2 linked regions of the Notamacropus eugenii genome follow. The protein of the gene in region 2 purifies or fractionates together with the protein of the main gene of each other region. This does not show direct contact. Links are inferred from orthologs where the notes say so. Each region holds a gene or a part of one and is shown on either strand. Other genes may lie near its edges.

Region 1 (7,232 bases), on a different chromosome or scaffold from region 2:
TATAACTGGATAACAGGTTAATACAGGAGTTCTTAAACTTGGGTCCATAAACGTGTTTTTAAAATTATTTTAATAACTGTGTTTCAATGGAATTGGTTTCTTTTATAATACTATATATTGTATTTTATGCAGTAAAAAATATTTTCCTACAAAGGAATAGGTTTCCCCAGACTGGCAAAGAGGAACAAAAAAGGTGAACTCCTAAAGTCTTTGCAGCCATTCCTTTTATTCAATTTTTTCCCTTTCAAACTGTAAGATTTCTTTACCTATCTTGGCAAATATTCAATTGTTTAAAGTAAGAAGGCTCCTCTGGCTAATTTTATTTTTTTAAATCCAGCTTTTACCAAATTTCTCCTTTCACTGTGACACATACACACATACACACATACATATATATATACACACACATATCCATATATATACACACACACACACACATATATAATATAAAAATATGTAGATTCTGGGTATTCAGAACACAAGATCTGACAAGTCCTACCCAAGTTAAAAAAGCTTTTACAACCCTACATAGTCTGAGAATCAAATAAGTTCAAAGTCCCAGTAATTCAGTAAGATATGATCCAAGGCATAGCAAAACTATTATTTTTCCTCATGAAACTAGAGAACACTACTTCTCAGTTTCTTTATCTGCAAAATGGGGATAATACCTGTAGCTGCCTCACAGGATTATTCTGCGACTGAAACAAGGTAATATTCACAAAAGAGGATCTGCTAACCTTATATCATTTTTACTATTCTTAATCAATCAGAATCATAGATATGGAGATTTCAGAGACCTTAGAAATTTCATTTTATAGATGTGGAAACAAAAGCAAAAAAGTGAATGACTTTCCCTGGATCTGGTAGAGTGAGCAACAAAACCCAGGGCCTCTTGACTCCAGATTGGACGCTTTTCTCACTATATCCTTCTTCCTTTTTAAATAACATAAGCAGTACATCTACTCAGTATAACCATTTTACGAAAAAATTTAAATCTGATGTGGTAATTTAACAGTATGATTCAATGCACATTTAATGGAGTTTCAAAATATCCTTTCCAATCTTTCTAGTTTGTATCCACTGCCTTGCACTGGTCTGTCAACATGCCCTTGGTTAAGCCTAGGATTATCTAGCTCATTTCCAATAAACAAGAATAAAAAATGTGGAAGAAAAATTCAGATGCCTCATGTAATCTCATAGTAGGGCTCTATGGATTCCCCGAAAAAACAACTCAAACCAATTATCACGAGTACAGAGGATTGACTCAACTTCGGGGATTCCTAAATCTCAAGCTAGAAGGCTTAGCCGGCATGCTGTGATTCTCAAATCAAACTACCATTTTTAAACAGCCAACTCAGTTCTCCTGTCTAGGATCACTGAAATTTCCACCCCGGCAGAAGCCTGGCTAACCTTTCCTGTCTATCCCATCGGGAGCTGTGTCGCCGGTCCCAGAGACCAACAGTCCCAAACTACACCATAAGATTACAAGTATTTTAACAATGTATCAATTGCACAACCTTTCCGAATCCGTCCACGTTGGAAAAGTAATACATTGTGTGTACGGGAAATCAGCCCTTCCCACCCTCACTTTCACGGACGCAACTTCTGTAACCCCCATTTGGTCGCAGACACAAGCGACACCCCTTTCCCGACCGCGGTTTTGGGGTCAGGCCCTACTTCTCCAAATGTTACCGGGCTTTAAAAAAATTCAATAGCACCTCAATTGCGAGGATGTGTTGGAACCACCCATGATTGTCACCGGAGGAGTCTTTTGTGAGGGACTGCCAACCCTCTACTCAAAACAAAAAGCGACCCCGGCTAAAGGCACCATTCGGCCCACGAAGCCCCAACTCCCTTCTCCCCGCCCCCTCCCCCTCGGGCTTAGTGGAAAGAAAGAGAACGCACCGGCCACGCGCGACGCCCTCCCCCCTCCCCGGACACCGCGGCCCCCATTGTGTCCCAGCCCCTCCTCCTACCCCTCCAGCTCGGGCCAGGCCGGACCGGCGCAGGCCGGGTGACAGCCGCGGGCGCCGCCGACCAGGCTCCCGGGCCTCCGAGCGCAGCGCGTTCCCCGCCTCCCCCGGCCGAGCGGGCGACCTGCCGGGACAGCAGCTCGCCCGGCGCGGCGGCGGGGATTGCTGCGGAGCCTGGGGGCGGCGGGGAAGCCTGGGAAGAGAGGGCTTGGGGATCGGGAGAAAGGAGGGGGAGGGGAGAGGGGGAGGGGGCCCCCCATTGGCCGGGGCAGTTAACGCATCTAACCGCCCCTCGCTAGCCCGTCCGGGCCGGGGCCCGAGCGGGGACACCGCCCCCGCCCCCACCTCCACGCCCCAGCCCCGGCCCCAGCCCCGGCGCGGGGACCCGAGCGGCCAGGCGGGGCGCTGGAGACAATGAGCGGGGGAGGGCGGCGGCGGAGGAGCCGCGATGGAGGAGGGGAGAGGAGCCAGGCCGGGCCCGGGACGCACTAGGGCGGCAGAGCTTGATCCCCGGCCCCGGCAGGGAGCAGGCCCGCGGCCCCGCCGCGCTCTCTCCGTCCCTGCTGGGCCCGCCATCGCGCTCTCCCTTTCTTGACCGGCTCGGCCCCACACGCCCGCCACCTCGCGTCGCCTCCCCGGGGGTGTGAGGGGGCGGCCGCGGCCCGGAGAGAACAGGACTGGGGGGCTGGGGGGCAAGACTCCCTCAGCTGGGGCCTCCCTCCGCCGAGGCGAAGGCAACACCTCGACCTCACCTGATGGCCGCCGCCCGGCGCGTCAGCTCCGTCAGTCCGTCGCGGGGTGGCTGGGCCAGCCGCTTTTGGCTGCTTAGCTCAGGCCGGGCCCCTTCTCTCGCTCGCTCGGCCAGCACTCGACCCCACCGCAGCAGAAGCTCTATCCGCGAAGGGCCCGCACCGCCCCGGCCGCCATTGGCCCCAGCACCCACACCCGCCCGCCCATTGGCCACGGCTGACAGCTCCGCCCCTCCCCCTCCGCTCCGCCGATCAACAAGGCAAGGCCCTGCCCCTTGCACAGCGAAGAGGTGGGCTAGGAGGGATTTCGGGCACGGATTGGTCAGGCCTCCAGGGAGACCGCACCTCCTCATTGGACTAGCTCGCAGGACTCCCGGCCCTCCCACGTGCCTGCTGCCCGGCCACACTCCCATTGGACCCCACAAATACCATTCAGCCACTCTCGACCAACCCAATGGCTAAACAGCCTAGGATTGACAACGGTGCCTTAGGGCCCGCCTATCGGTTGCACGAAATTGAACCACTATTGGCTGCAAGGCAAGCTGGAGGTGCAAAGAATGGATCTGGCAGTTGTCACTCAAGTCCCTCTCAGTAGAGCCCCCGCCCTTGCAATCAGGCTGAGAAATGAGTACGTGATGCCCAGCACAACAGCAGGCTGGGCTTGGGGAGATGGGAGCTTCTCTGTATGTTGGAGACCTCTTCAATTTGCATGCACAGGCCTTAGCACCTGAGAAGAAAAGGGAGAAATGAAAAAGGGAAGGGAAGACCTTCTAGACCCACGGAAAATACGGGGTGGCCGAGGGCTCCCCGGGGTGGGATGGGACTTAAGGCCCAGGTCATAATGAGGAAACTGAGGCCCAACTAAGACTCAGTGGTTATGACTATCCCCAAGGTCATACAAGTATTAAGTGGCAGGAATGAGCTCAGAATCCAAGTCCTCCGACTCCCAAGTCTACTGCTCTTTGTACTCACTACTCTGCCTCAGTTTCTCTTTTCAATCATACTACTCCAAATGCTGCTTCTGAATTCTCATTTACTCCCTATCTCCCCACTGACGCTATTTCTAAATCTTCTCATCCCTCCTCATCCCCCTTCCCAGCTGAGGATCTTGCCTCTTTGCTGAGAATAAATGAAAACTTTCCTTGTGAGCTTCCTCTTCTCCCACTCTCATCTCCACACACCTGGACCTCATCTCCTACTGACAAAGATTCTCCTTGCCAAGGCCAGACCTTCATGTGTGCTTAGCCTCATTGCCTACTGTCCTCTCCAAGAAACTTGAGTCCCTCCTGATGAATCTCCCCACAGCTGCCTCCAGACTTCCCTAGCTACTGGTGCCTCCAAGTATACCCAGATCTCTCCCATTCCTAAAAATTAAAACTTTCCCTAGCTCCCACTATACTCTCTAGTTCTAGTCCTCGATCTCATCACCCCCTGCTTCCCTTTAAGCTAAATTCTAGGAAGTTATTTACATTTGTTTGTTGCCTTCACTTTCTGTTCTGTCATTCCTCAATCTTTGAGGCAGCTAGGTAGCAGCTTGGACTCTGGAAGACCTGAGTTCAAATCCAAACTCAGACATCAGCCAGAGCAAGTCACTGTCACTGAAGCTGTCTGTCTCAGGTTCCCCAGTTGTAAACATAGCACCTATTTCCCAAGCTCATCAACTGACTAAAATTGCACTCTCCAAGTCACTCTTATCTTGTATGATCTGGATTAGACACTGTTGAGTATCCCATTCCTCTCTGGGGTTTTCATGACACCATTCTTGACAGTTTTCCTACCTGTCTGCCCATTTCTTCTCCTTTATTAGCTCATCATCCTTATCACATCTCCCTAACTTCAAATGCTCCCCTGAAGATTTCTTCTAGGCACCCATGCAACTTGCACTTTCCTGTCATGGATTTAAATATCTTTATGAATATGACTCCTGGAGCTAAAAGTTCAGCCTGTTTCTCCCCTAATACTGATCACCAACTGGATCACCAGTTTCAAACTGGATATATCAAATTCAACAAGTCTAATACTGAACTCATTTCCCCCACTCCAAACCTCCTCTCCTCCACACATGACTTTTAATAGAAGGAACCATCCTTCCAGCTTTCCTGGTTCATAACCTCAGCACTGTCATTAAATCTTTATTCTCATTCTCCCTATATAACCAATCAATTGCCAATCCTGCCATAGCATTTCTTGAACTAAACCATTCTCTCACACAGCTACCCTCCTTAGTTCAGGCCCTCATCACCACTTGCAGAAACAACAATGCCTTAATTGGCAACCCAGCCTGAAAGTCTCTCCAATCCATCTCACACAAAGAAGTCAAAGTGATTTGACCCTCTCCTACTCAACCAACTCAAGACTTCCTGTTGTCTCTCAGCAGGTCAAAGGGATTTTCTTTAAAGTTTTGATCTGACTTAATCACTTACCTTCACTACCAACTCTCAGCTCCCTACTGTCTCTCAATCAACTCTTTTAAAAGCCCTTCACAACCTTATTCCAAACAAGTTTTCCAGACCAATTGTACATTACTCCCCTTCCCACCCTTGGCCATCCAGCTGCTTTCTGTTTTTACCATAAGCCATCTCGTCTCTCACTTTCCTTCAAAACAGCTCAAGAACCACCTTCTACATGAAGCCTCTCCTAACACTCAACTGCTAGTGCCCTGCTTCCAAACAACCTTTTATTTAAGGACTTAACTTGTATCCTCTTCATATTTATGAGTGCACTCACCTGTACTTGTTGTCTTTTCCATTAAAATGTAAACTCTACTTTCCAACAAACATTATTTTATTCTATTCATATTCCCAGTACCCAGGATTGTGCCTAACTTAGGGTAAGCACATGTTTATCATTAGATAGGCAACTAAAGTTGTATCAGTCTTGTATCAATTTGTTCCAGGAGAGACCGAAGTCCACCCTCATTTACAAATGAATAAACTTGAGGCCCAGAGCAGGCAAGAGACTTCTCCTAGAACTAGATCACCCAGTGGTAGACCTAAGTGAGGCCAGGACCCAGATTTCTTGATTCAAAGTCCTACATTCTTTGTCTATCAAGGGCTTGAGTGCCTATTCTATACTGGGCACCAGAGATATAGGTACCCACCCACAAGGTCCACTGCTATTGAACAACATTGGCAAAAGGGAAATTAATATTTGGCCCAGTTTCACTGGCTTTTAGCTTCACAGGAAAGCTGTTTTTAAAACAATGCAGTGTATTATCAATTTTCTATTTATACAATGCCTTTTATTTTCAGGCCTCCTAAAGCCTTTCCTTACACTACATTCTGGAAGATATCCCCAGCTGAAGTACATGAATTGAGCCAACTGGCATATAGCATTTCCAATTTTAAAAAATAGCTTTGAATTTCTAGTTTTTAGTGACTACACTTTAAGTAAAAGGTATAAGGGGAAGTGAAGAAATGGCACAAAGATATTTAAAACATACTGCACTGTCTTTCTCTTTGTTATGTATTTTTTATCTAATAAAATAGATTTCTTGGGAATTTTTTTCTTTAAAGCTGATCCCCCTGACTGCAAATAAAAAAAAAATCAGTATTCTTTATTATACATCAATCCAAAACTTATTTTTCCTGGACTGGTCTTTGGTATATTAAAGTATGAATAATTACAAATATTTCTTATGAAAACCTTCAAAATGATAACATACTTAGTCCAATTAGCTGACCCTTGAACATGTTCAAATCCAAATGATCATGCTCTGCCTCATTCTTTGATGCTTTCAAAGCAAAGTACTGCCCCCTCAGTGTCTCCATCTGGCTTAATCAACAGCTCAATCTTTCCTGCTAGGCTGTTCATGAGGATCTGAAGAGAACTGTCTCAAACTTTTTCTGACTCCCTCCCTATCCAAGGTTCATTCCACATACCAGACCAACTTCACAATGGATTTACAGGGGTAAATTAAAAATCCACCTTGAAACATTAAGTGGATTGATACTTTTTGACTTAACATTTGCAATTTATCAGAGACCTGAAAATGATTAATACCCCTTAAGAATAAGGAGGCACAGTAGAATACAACATGCAGTCAGGTAAGGACATTGGGTTCCACTCCTGATTATGATTATGACACAGCGCTAACAAATTCTTGAAATTTCAGCTGTATCAATAGTGAAATAGAGATGAGGAGGTAACATGACAACTGAAGAAGCACTAGATTGGGTCAGAGGCATAACTGAGGGGAAAATGGTCTCAATTTCTTCATCTGTAAAATGAGGTGGGTAGACTAGGTGGCCTCCCAGGGACTTTCTGGCTCTGAATCTGTCATAATATATTCATTACCTAACATGCAAATGTGTTGGGAGGTTTCCTTACAAGTAAGTGCAATGGAAATGGGAGTTGGATAAATTCATATTGAATTAATACCAGACTCCCAAAATCACATAAAAAAGCAAGCTCAGTATAGCATCACAGGCTGTTTAGAAATCTTCACAGGATCCTAAATGTATCTAATCCCAATAATGTATCTATTCACTGTCAGAATTTAAGATAACCA
Region 2 (7,921 bases):
CATGCAGCATGAGAGCAAAATGGAAGAGTCCAGAAGAGTGAAGCCAAGTGGGAAGTGAAGAGATGTCTGGCCTGGACACCTTCCTTAAATGGAAATTTTGTTAGGAGCTCTCTGTTCATCCCTCCAATCAGAGGGACCCAGGGACAGAGGGTAATGATGACCTCTGAGTATCAGGGCTGATGTGATCTTGCAAGATGATGAGGTGCCAGGGGTCATGATGGAAAAATCCAAAGGAATGTAGCCAGATGGAAAATGAAGAGGATACCTTGAAATACTGAATCATCAAATGGTCATTACATTTAACAGTTACAAACGATGATTTGGGGAAAATGTTCAAACAGCTTTATAGTTGTTCTTCCCAACATTGTTAGCAACATGAGAATAAAATGCGATTAAATTTGCTCTCAAATATTATTAAGGTTGCACTCATTTGAAGTAGTTGAAACTTTTGTAGGATCAACATTTTTCATTATTTAGTTTATTCACTAAGCTGGAAACTGTCATTAGCCAACTCTTTTTTTTAACAAATCCTGAATTTTAGTATGGGTTTTAGAAGCACAATGTTCCCTAATTCCTCCTCAACCCCTGCCTCCCAGAAGTTTGCCTAGTAGATTTATTTCCACCATTCAGGGTTACTAAATGTGTCCTCCATACCTAGAACAGATGGACATGCTTATTTTGCTGTGACTCCTAAATGCTAACTTCTCAATCCTTACATCCTGAATTCTTTAAAAAGAAAAGTTTGTTTTTAATTCCAATAATCTGGAAATGTAAAAGGAACAATTTCTTCCTTTGGGAATTATGATAGGTTTTCTTCAGTGATTGATTATTCAAGATTCAAAATGTTGTTCTATTGGTTTGGGCGCTCCACAATTATTTTTGTTCTTATTCTCTGTGCCTGTTTTCACTTTTTTCATGTTTAAAAATCCTAATAGATCACAATGCCTAAGACTGGCATTTTAGGGAACACAATCTGAAAACATGATTTCCCATTACATTAGTAAGACAGTTAACACTTGAGAGATAACTGTAAAAATTTGATTATATAATTTTAGAAATAATAAATTTTAACCTAGAATGCCTCATTTTTTCTGCTTATACCCATACCTTCATTGTGACTTGGAATTTCTTGCAAAATCTACTATCATTTTTATATGTCTGTCACTCTGAATAGTATCACAAAATCAAACATAGCATAACTGCTCAATTACTATTCATTCTGCAGAAAAGGCAGTTCAGCCAAAAAGACACTCATTGTCATTGATGAATGAGTGTAGTTCCTAGCTGAATATTGGTGTTAATGACTAAAGACAAAAGTGAACAACACTGTCCTTTGTTGGACCACCATTCATTGGTCAGTGATTCCCATGAACAAACTTCTTTGTTGAATTCTATAATAACTTTGGTATACCAGAACATTTTCACAAAATAAAAGCTACAGATATGACCCACTTTTTTGTTTAATCTGTATTAGTTAACATTTTCTCCATCATATCTTTAGTTCAGACTAGTCAGCAAACTACAGCCCACAGGCCAAACTTGTTTTTGTATGGTCAGGAAGCTGAGTAGTTTTTACATTTTTAAATAAAATTTTATTGTATTTTAAATTGTAAAAAGCACTTAGTTCCCTAGGCTGCATAAAAACAGGCAATATTGGATCAGATGTAGCTTGTCAATCCCTGGTCTAGACAATAAACCAAGCCAATATTTGTAGTGTTTGCTGATTTTCATAGTGTAAATAGTCCCACCGTAGTGGATTTCAACCTACCAACTGAGTGCACTGAGTGCAAAGTTGGGAAAAGATGCATGGTAACATACCATCATCTACTATTTCCACTATGCAGGTACAGTAGACATAAATTACATCAAGAGTATACATAATAAATCTGGTAAAAATTGTTAGGAAGTGAAGAGTTTAGAGTGTTTTATCACCTCTTTTTAGTGTAATTTGCTTAATTATAAATTTAAATAATTTTAAATGGTGGTTGTATTTAACAAGTGGCACACAAAAATCCTGAAAATTTAACAACTAGCTCTGCATACTACTGCTTGTATTCCATCTAATAGTTAACAAAAGGAGGCTTACTTAGCCTTAGAAATGAGAAGATATTTAACAAGGATGCATTTTTGGTTCTGTTGGGCGTGGATTCCCCACCTCTATGTTGTCTATGTCCAGAGACCCATGCTGGAGGGAGGAGCTCTTAGCTCCTGATGCCCTGACATTTTTTGTACCTAAGACACAAGGAAGCTATTATATCAGTAGTCTGAGCCATAACCCCCTGAATCAATTAAAGCCACTTTCAATACTTAAAGAAAATCTGCCATTAGGACAGTGACTGATATAATCCTGACCTCAGGGGTGAAAGAATCCTTTGGAAGAAGAAAAAGAAAAAAAAAAAGACTGCAAACCACTAAAAAACAACATGCAGCAAATAAGCAGTGACCCGGGATGGAGTAAAAGAATGAGGAAGAGAGGAGAGACCAGAAATCCCATGCTACATTCACCTCCCCTCTTCAGAACCACCAAGCCCAGGACCTTGACTATGATGCTAAATCTTTGCAATTGATGCTGCCACTGCTTGAGGCAGGATGATTGTTTCCTTGTGCTGGAGCCTACCAATGATTCCTGTGTTTCTGTATCGAACCCAAGTCTATCTTTTGAGCTATAATCTCATGCAGCCCACTGCCTTTGGGACATCTTGAAAGTAGTGATGTATAACAGTGGGGATGAGCAAAAGCAGCACCAGAAACACAGCACAGATTATATATAGTCACCGATCTCATCATGGGTCAGGTCATCCATAGGAAGATCACTAAGAGGTTGCATTACCAGAGACAGGATCCATACCGAGAATTACCCTGTATCACCACATACTTCATCTATCCATCCTTGCTATTGTCCTATATCTCTTCTCCCTTTTCTGCTAAAGTCCTTGATAAAGCCATCTACATGGATGCCTCCACTTCCTTTCCTCTTACTCCTTCTTAACTCTCTGCTGTCTCTTCTGAACTCATGATTCAATGAAATTTCTTTCTCCAAAGTTACCAACGAGCTATTAATTGCCAATTTTAATCAATCCTCATCCTTTTTGATCTTTTCAACCTTTGACATAGTTGATTATCCTCTTCTCAATACTTCCTTCTTTAGATCTGAAGACACTGTTCTCTCCCGGTCTTCTGGATGTTTGCTTCTTGGTCTTCTTGGCTGGATCTTCATCCAGGCAACATCTATCAGCCATTGGTACCCTGCCCTGCCCCGCCCCCCCCCCCCCCCAGCTCTGTCCTGTGCTCTCTTCTCCCTCTATACTATTTCACATTTAATGATCTCATCATCTCTCATGGATTCAATTGTCATTCTGTGAAAATGATTCTCAGATTTATTGATCCAACCCTAACCTCTCTCCTGATCTCTCATCTCTAACTCCACCCCCATCTCTCCTTCTTTAGTCTCTGGACCCTGACTACCTACAGAATGTTTCAAGCTGGATGATTCTTAGACATGTTAAACTCAATATACTGAAGACTGAACTCAATGTTTCCCCAAATTCTTCCCTCTAACTTGATGGAGGACACCATCACCTTCCCAGTCACCCAGAATGACAACCTAAGAGTCCTCCTGGACTCATCACTCTTTCACACCTCCATATCCAGATCCTGTATTATCTGTTTCTGCAGCATCCCTCCTCTGCACTTCCTTCACCCTGACACTGCCAGCACCCTGGTACAGGCTCTCATCAGCACCACACCTGGACTACTGCATAGCTTCATGGATGGTCTCCTTGCCTCGAGTCTCTCCCCACTGAAGTCATCCTCCACTCAGCTCTCAAACTGAGCTCCCTAAAGAACAAGTTTGATAATGCCATCCCTGGCCTGGTTCAAAAAACTCCAATGGCTCCCTCGTTTCCTGGATGCCCTTTCCTACCTTCCAACCTTAAACCTTCCCACCCCCACACCCTGTACTCTGCGATTCGAGGACTTCCTTGCTGCTGTTCCTCACACTAAACACTCCATTTCCTGACTGGGCATTTTCACTGTCTGCCCCCCCAGCTTGGAAGCCCCCTCCCTCCTTGCCTTTGCATCTTGGCTGTCCTGGCTCCTTCAAGGCTGCTAAAATCTCACCTGCAAGAAGCTCTTGCTCATCCCTCTCGGTGCTAACGCTTTCCCTTCGTTCATGGCCTCCAATTTAAGAGGCCACCTATCTGTGAGGCTGCTGTGTGCCTGAGGCCCCTCTCTGGGTCAGATCAGCAGCTCCGGCAGGGTGTGGTTAGGGGCACTCCTGGGCTGCCCGCCAGTGCTCCTGTCTCCTAACATTCTTCTGTTCCACTTTAGAACTTGGAGTTCTAACGCTGAAGAATAATCCATTCCTGAGCAGCATCACTTGCAAGTGTGCAGAGAACTCTCCATCCGTCATCTCCACTGATGCAGGGCTCTGGTTAAGAGGCTGGCCCAGGGTCACAGGAAGGTTCCAGATGGGATTCGAACGCCAAGTCCAAGGCTGGACCCTTCACCCCTGAGTCCAGAGTCTGGATTCTGATTCTCGGCATCCAGGGCTCCCATTAGTATGGGATGGATTTAAAAAACACCAGTTTAAAAATTAAAGTCAGTGAACGACGGGAGGCGGCTGCGCGGTGAAATCGGGGCCAGTTCTGGACTCGCTGCGCCTCGGTCCCCGCAGGCGTGCACCAGCGCAGGAGGCGGCCGAGCCTCGAAGGCCCGGGTTCAAGGGCCGCCTCCTCCGGCCTAGCTGCTGGGGTCCTCGGTCCCACACCCGTGACCCCGGGCGGAGCCGTCCCAGATGACCCCAGGGATGGAGCGGAGCCGGCTGGGGACCCTTCTATCTGATTCGGCTCCCACAGCAGCCCTTCCAAGGCGACGCTATTATGCTCACCCTCGGTTTACAGATGAGGAAACTGAGGCAGGGCAGGGTCATCCCACTCCTAAGGGTGGGAGGCCAGATTGGGGTTCGGGACTTCCTGACCCCAGGCAGAAGGGCAAACAAGGAGTCACGCCCTGGGGGGGGGGGGCCTTCCAGGACCCCACCCCGGCATAGTCGCCCCCCCACCCCCCCGCCAGGAGAAACGACGGGAGGGCGGGGCACGTGGCAACGGCACAGACTTCACACAGGAAGTGAGGTCGGCCCGGGGCGGGGCCTCCGTGCGCGTCCCCGCCGGGCCCCGCCCCCACCGCGGGCGCTAGCGGAAGTGGCGTGCGTCCGCGCTGGGCGTTCAAAGCGGAGCGTTGGAGAGCTAGCGGTAGCCGTCGTCGCGGCGGACGGAGGCAGGGCCGGCGACGACGGGGAGGCAGCGATGGAGCCGGCGGGGAGCGGCGGCTCCTCCTCCGTGGACTCTCAGGCCGCCTTCGTGCTGAGCAACCTGGCCGAGGTGGTGGAGCGCGTCCTCGCCTTCCTGCCTACCAAGGCGCTGCTGCGGGTGGCCGGGTGAGGAGTCCCGGGGGGCGCGGGGAGGGCCGGGCCCCTCCTCCCCTGCAGGCCCACAGGGCTCCGGCCCGGCCGCCGCTCCCCCTCCTCCTGCCCACGGCGGGCGTGCACGACCCCCGCCCGGCTGCACCTGCCCCGCCCCCCACCCGAGCCGCCGCTGTCGCTGCTGCTGCCGCTGCCGCCACCGCGCGTGCGCGCCGGGCTCAACCGCCGCCTCCCCTCCCCCAGCCGCTCGGGGCCCTGGACCCCGAGGAGCAGAGAGCGGGTGGGGGGAGGGGAGAGAAGAGCCGTGCCCCCACGTGACCCGCGGTCCGCGTGCCTGCCGCGCTGTGGGGCCTGGGCCGGGAGGCTTCCCGAGCGCTTTGACGCCCGCCTCCTCCTCCGCCCCAGGGGTCGTGCGTGGGAGCTCTGGCCCTTTTGAACAAAAATTACCGTAACTGGCGTCTGTATACAGTCAGAGCCCTCCTCACTCCCTATTCACAGATGAGGACGTTGAGGCCAGCCTAGGGCAGACCCGGCTCCCCAGGGGGTGGGGGTTTGGAGTGGGAGGAGGCATCCTCTACCCTTACTAAAGCTTCAAGGCGGCCCTTGGGGGTGCGGCGGGGTGACCTCGGGGTCGGAGGACGAGGGTGGGCTAGGTGTCTGGCAGGTTGGGGCGGGGTTCGATGTAGAGGAAAGAGTGAGCTGGAGAACCTCCAGTGAGTAGGTTGGGATCCGAAGTTCTTGAGGAATAATTAGTCACTGTTATTAGAAACATCAGTAGTAGATGTAGATGTATTTTTTGGAGAGCAGAGATCCTGCAGACAACGAAAATAGTGAAGAGCCTATTGCAGTTCTGTTAAGTGAATGCTAAGGAAACTCAAGGAGGTGCTGTCAGTGTTTGTGGAGAGACAGGACCAAGATGCTGTAGTGAAAGAATCTGAAGCCTTGGCATTTGAATGTAGGGAGAAAGGGAAGAGTCAGGGCGGATGCTAAGGTTTCAAGACCTGGTGATTGGGACAGTGCTTGGTGTTTTCATCCATGCACAAAGAGAATTTACCTGGAGAAATGGGGAGAGATTAATACTGTGTGCCAGACAGGGTGGTAAGTGCTTGATAGTTACTTCATTTACTAGAACAAGAAGTAGTTATTGTTATTCCCATTTGACAGACAGTCCACTTTTGTACACTTTAGAGTTAGAAGTACCAGCTTGACACCCGGGTAGATGGAAATTTCCAGCAGCCAGTTGAAAATGTGGTATTGGGATCTGTTTGGAACCTGTTATGATTTTTTTTTCCAGCGTATCCCGCTTATGGAAAGAATGTGTTCGTCGAACCTTGAGGAGCCAGCAGAGCGTGGCCTGGATCTCCACAATGGAGCCTGGGCCCCCAGAGATGCACTCACTGGTCCAAGTGTTAGCCAAGGAGCTTGAGGCAAGTGTTGGTCAGCCAGTAATGAAGCACTGCATTTCCTGTGGTGTCAGTCTTTAATGGACTGAGATGATGGCATCTTCCTTGGGGTGGTTGTGCTTAAATTTTGTCTCATTTCTTCTTGATGTGTTTATTTTCGACATGGTCACTATTAGTTACATAATTAGCCTTTATGGAAATCTTTCCACTAGCTAAACATGAAATACTTATATGCAGATCATTAAAGTAGAAACTAAGGGAGTTCTTAGTGACACATTTCCAATTAGGTTTTATTGGTCTGAACACACATTTTAAAATGACACAATGATGACTTGATAATAGTTTCTGTGGGAATTGGGCAAAAAAAAGTGTAAGAGAATTGACTTTTTAAAGTCCTAAAGCATGGTAAGATGGGGGCATATTAAGATACGGAGGAGCCCAGATCTATCAGAAACACTTCAGTGGGACTCAGAAATGTACCACTTTGAAAAGAAATGAAAAGAAACACCTATGAACTTTCCTCTCCTATCCAACTCTGAAATCTATAGGGGGACCCAAGTTGTGAAGAGACCAATAGAAAAGTTGGGTTGGGTCATGGGTGGAGTTCAGCCAATCCCTGGAAGCTTTAGACTAGTCCATCTAGGCAAGACCTTAGGGACAAAGAGAAATATAGAAAGCCCCTAGGCAAAATTCAGCTTGAGCAGTCCTTGAAGCCTGTGGAAGGAGTCCAGCAACCAGAGAGAAAGACCCTAGTCAAAGTCTGCAGCAGTGTGAGGTCCTAGAGCCCTGTCACAAGAAGCACATCCTTTTTCCAACCCCTTCCCCCAGCCCATCATTAGAGCAGTCTAGAGTCCCTTAAAGGAGGGGCCTAACTATGCCATATATTTGTGGAGTTTTACCAAGTGAAACACCCTTCACCTCCCACCCTTCAACCTAAATACTGAACTAGAGGAGATGAGCAAATGAAAGTAAAAACAACAGATGCCATGGAAGAACTACCTTGGTTTGAGAGACACACATGTAAACCACAAGGAAAATAACACCTCAATAAGCATAAGGTAAAGCTTGGAGAAATATATCTCTTGGCCATAGGCAC

Evidence for each region. Proteins that work in one complex are often made in the same cells at the same time.
Region 1: the proteins of FBXO22 (region 2) and KDM4B purify together in Homo sapiens (affinity purification with western blotting; 3 studies listed by BioGRID, with this or other methods). This does not show direct contact. The link is inferred for Notamacropus eugenii from reciprocal best matches to the Homo sapiens genes FBXO22 and KDM4B.

Annotation. Positions count from the first base shown.
Region 1 is NC_092875.1:72,444,426-72,451,657, reverse strand, and holds the start of KDM4B (lysine-specific demethylase 4B), read right to left. Parts: upstream 3,033-7,232; 5' UTR 2,726-3,032; intron 1-2,725. UniProt on the Homo sapiens protein: Histone demethylase that specifically demethylates 'Lys-9' of histone H3, thereby playing a role in histone code. Does not demethylate histone H3 'Lys-4', H3 'Lys-27', H3 'Lys-36' nor H4 'Lys-20'.
Region 2 is NC_092872.1:255,804,205-255,812,125, forward strand, and holds the start of FBXO22 (F-box only protein 22), read left to right. Parts: upstream 1-4,865; 5' UTR 4,866-4,880; coding exon 4,881-5,437; intron 5,438-6,716; coding exon 6,717-6,849; intron 6,850-7,921. UniProt on the Homo sapiens protein: Substrate-recognition component of the SCF (SKP1-CUL1-F-box protein)-type E3 ubiquitin ligase complex that is implicated in the control of various cellular processes such as cell cycle control, transcriptional regulation, DNA damage repair, and apoptosis.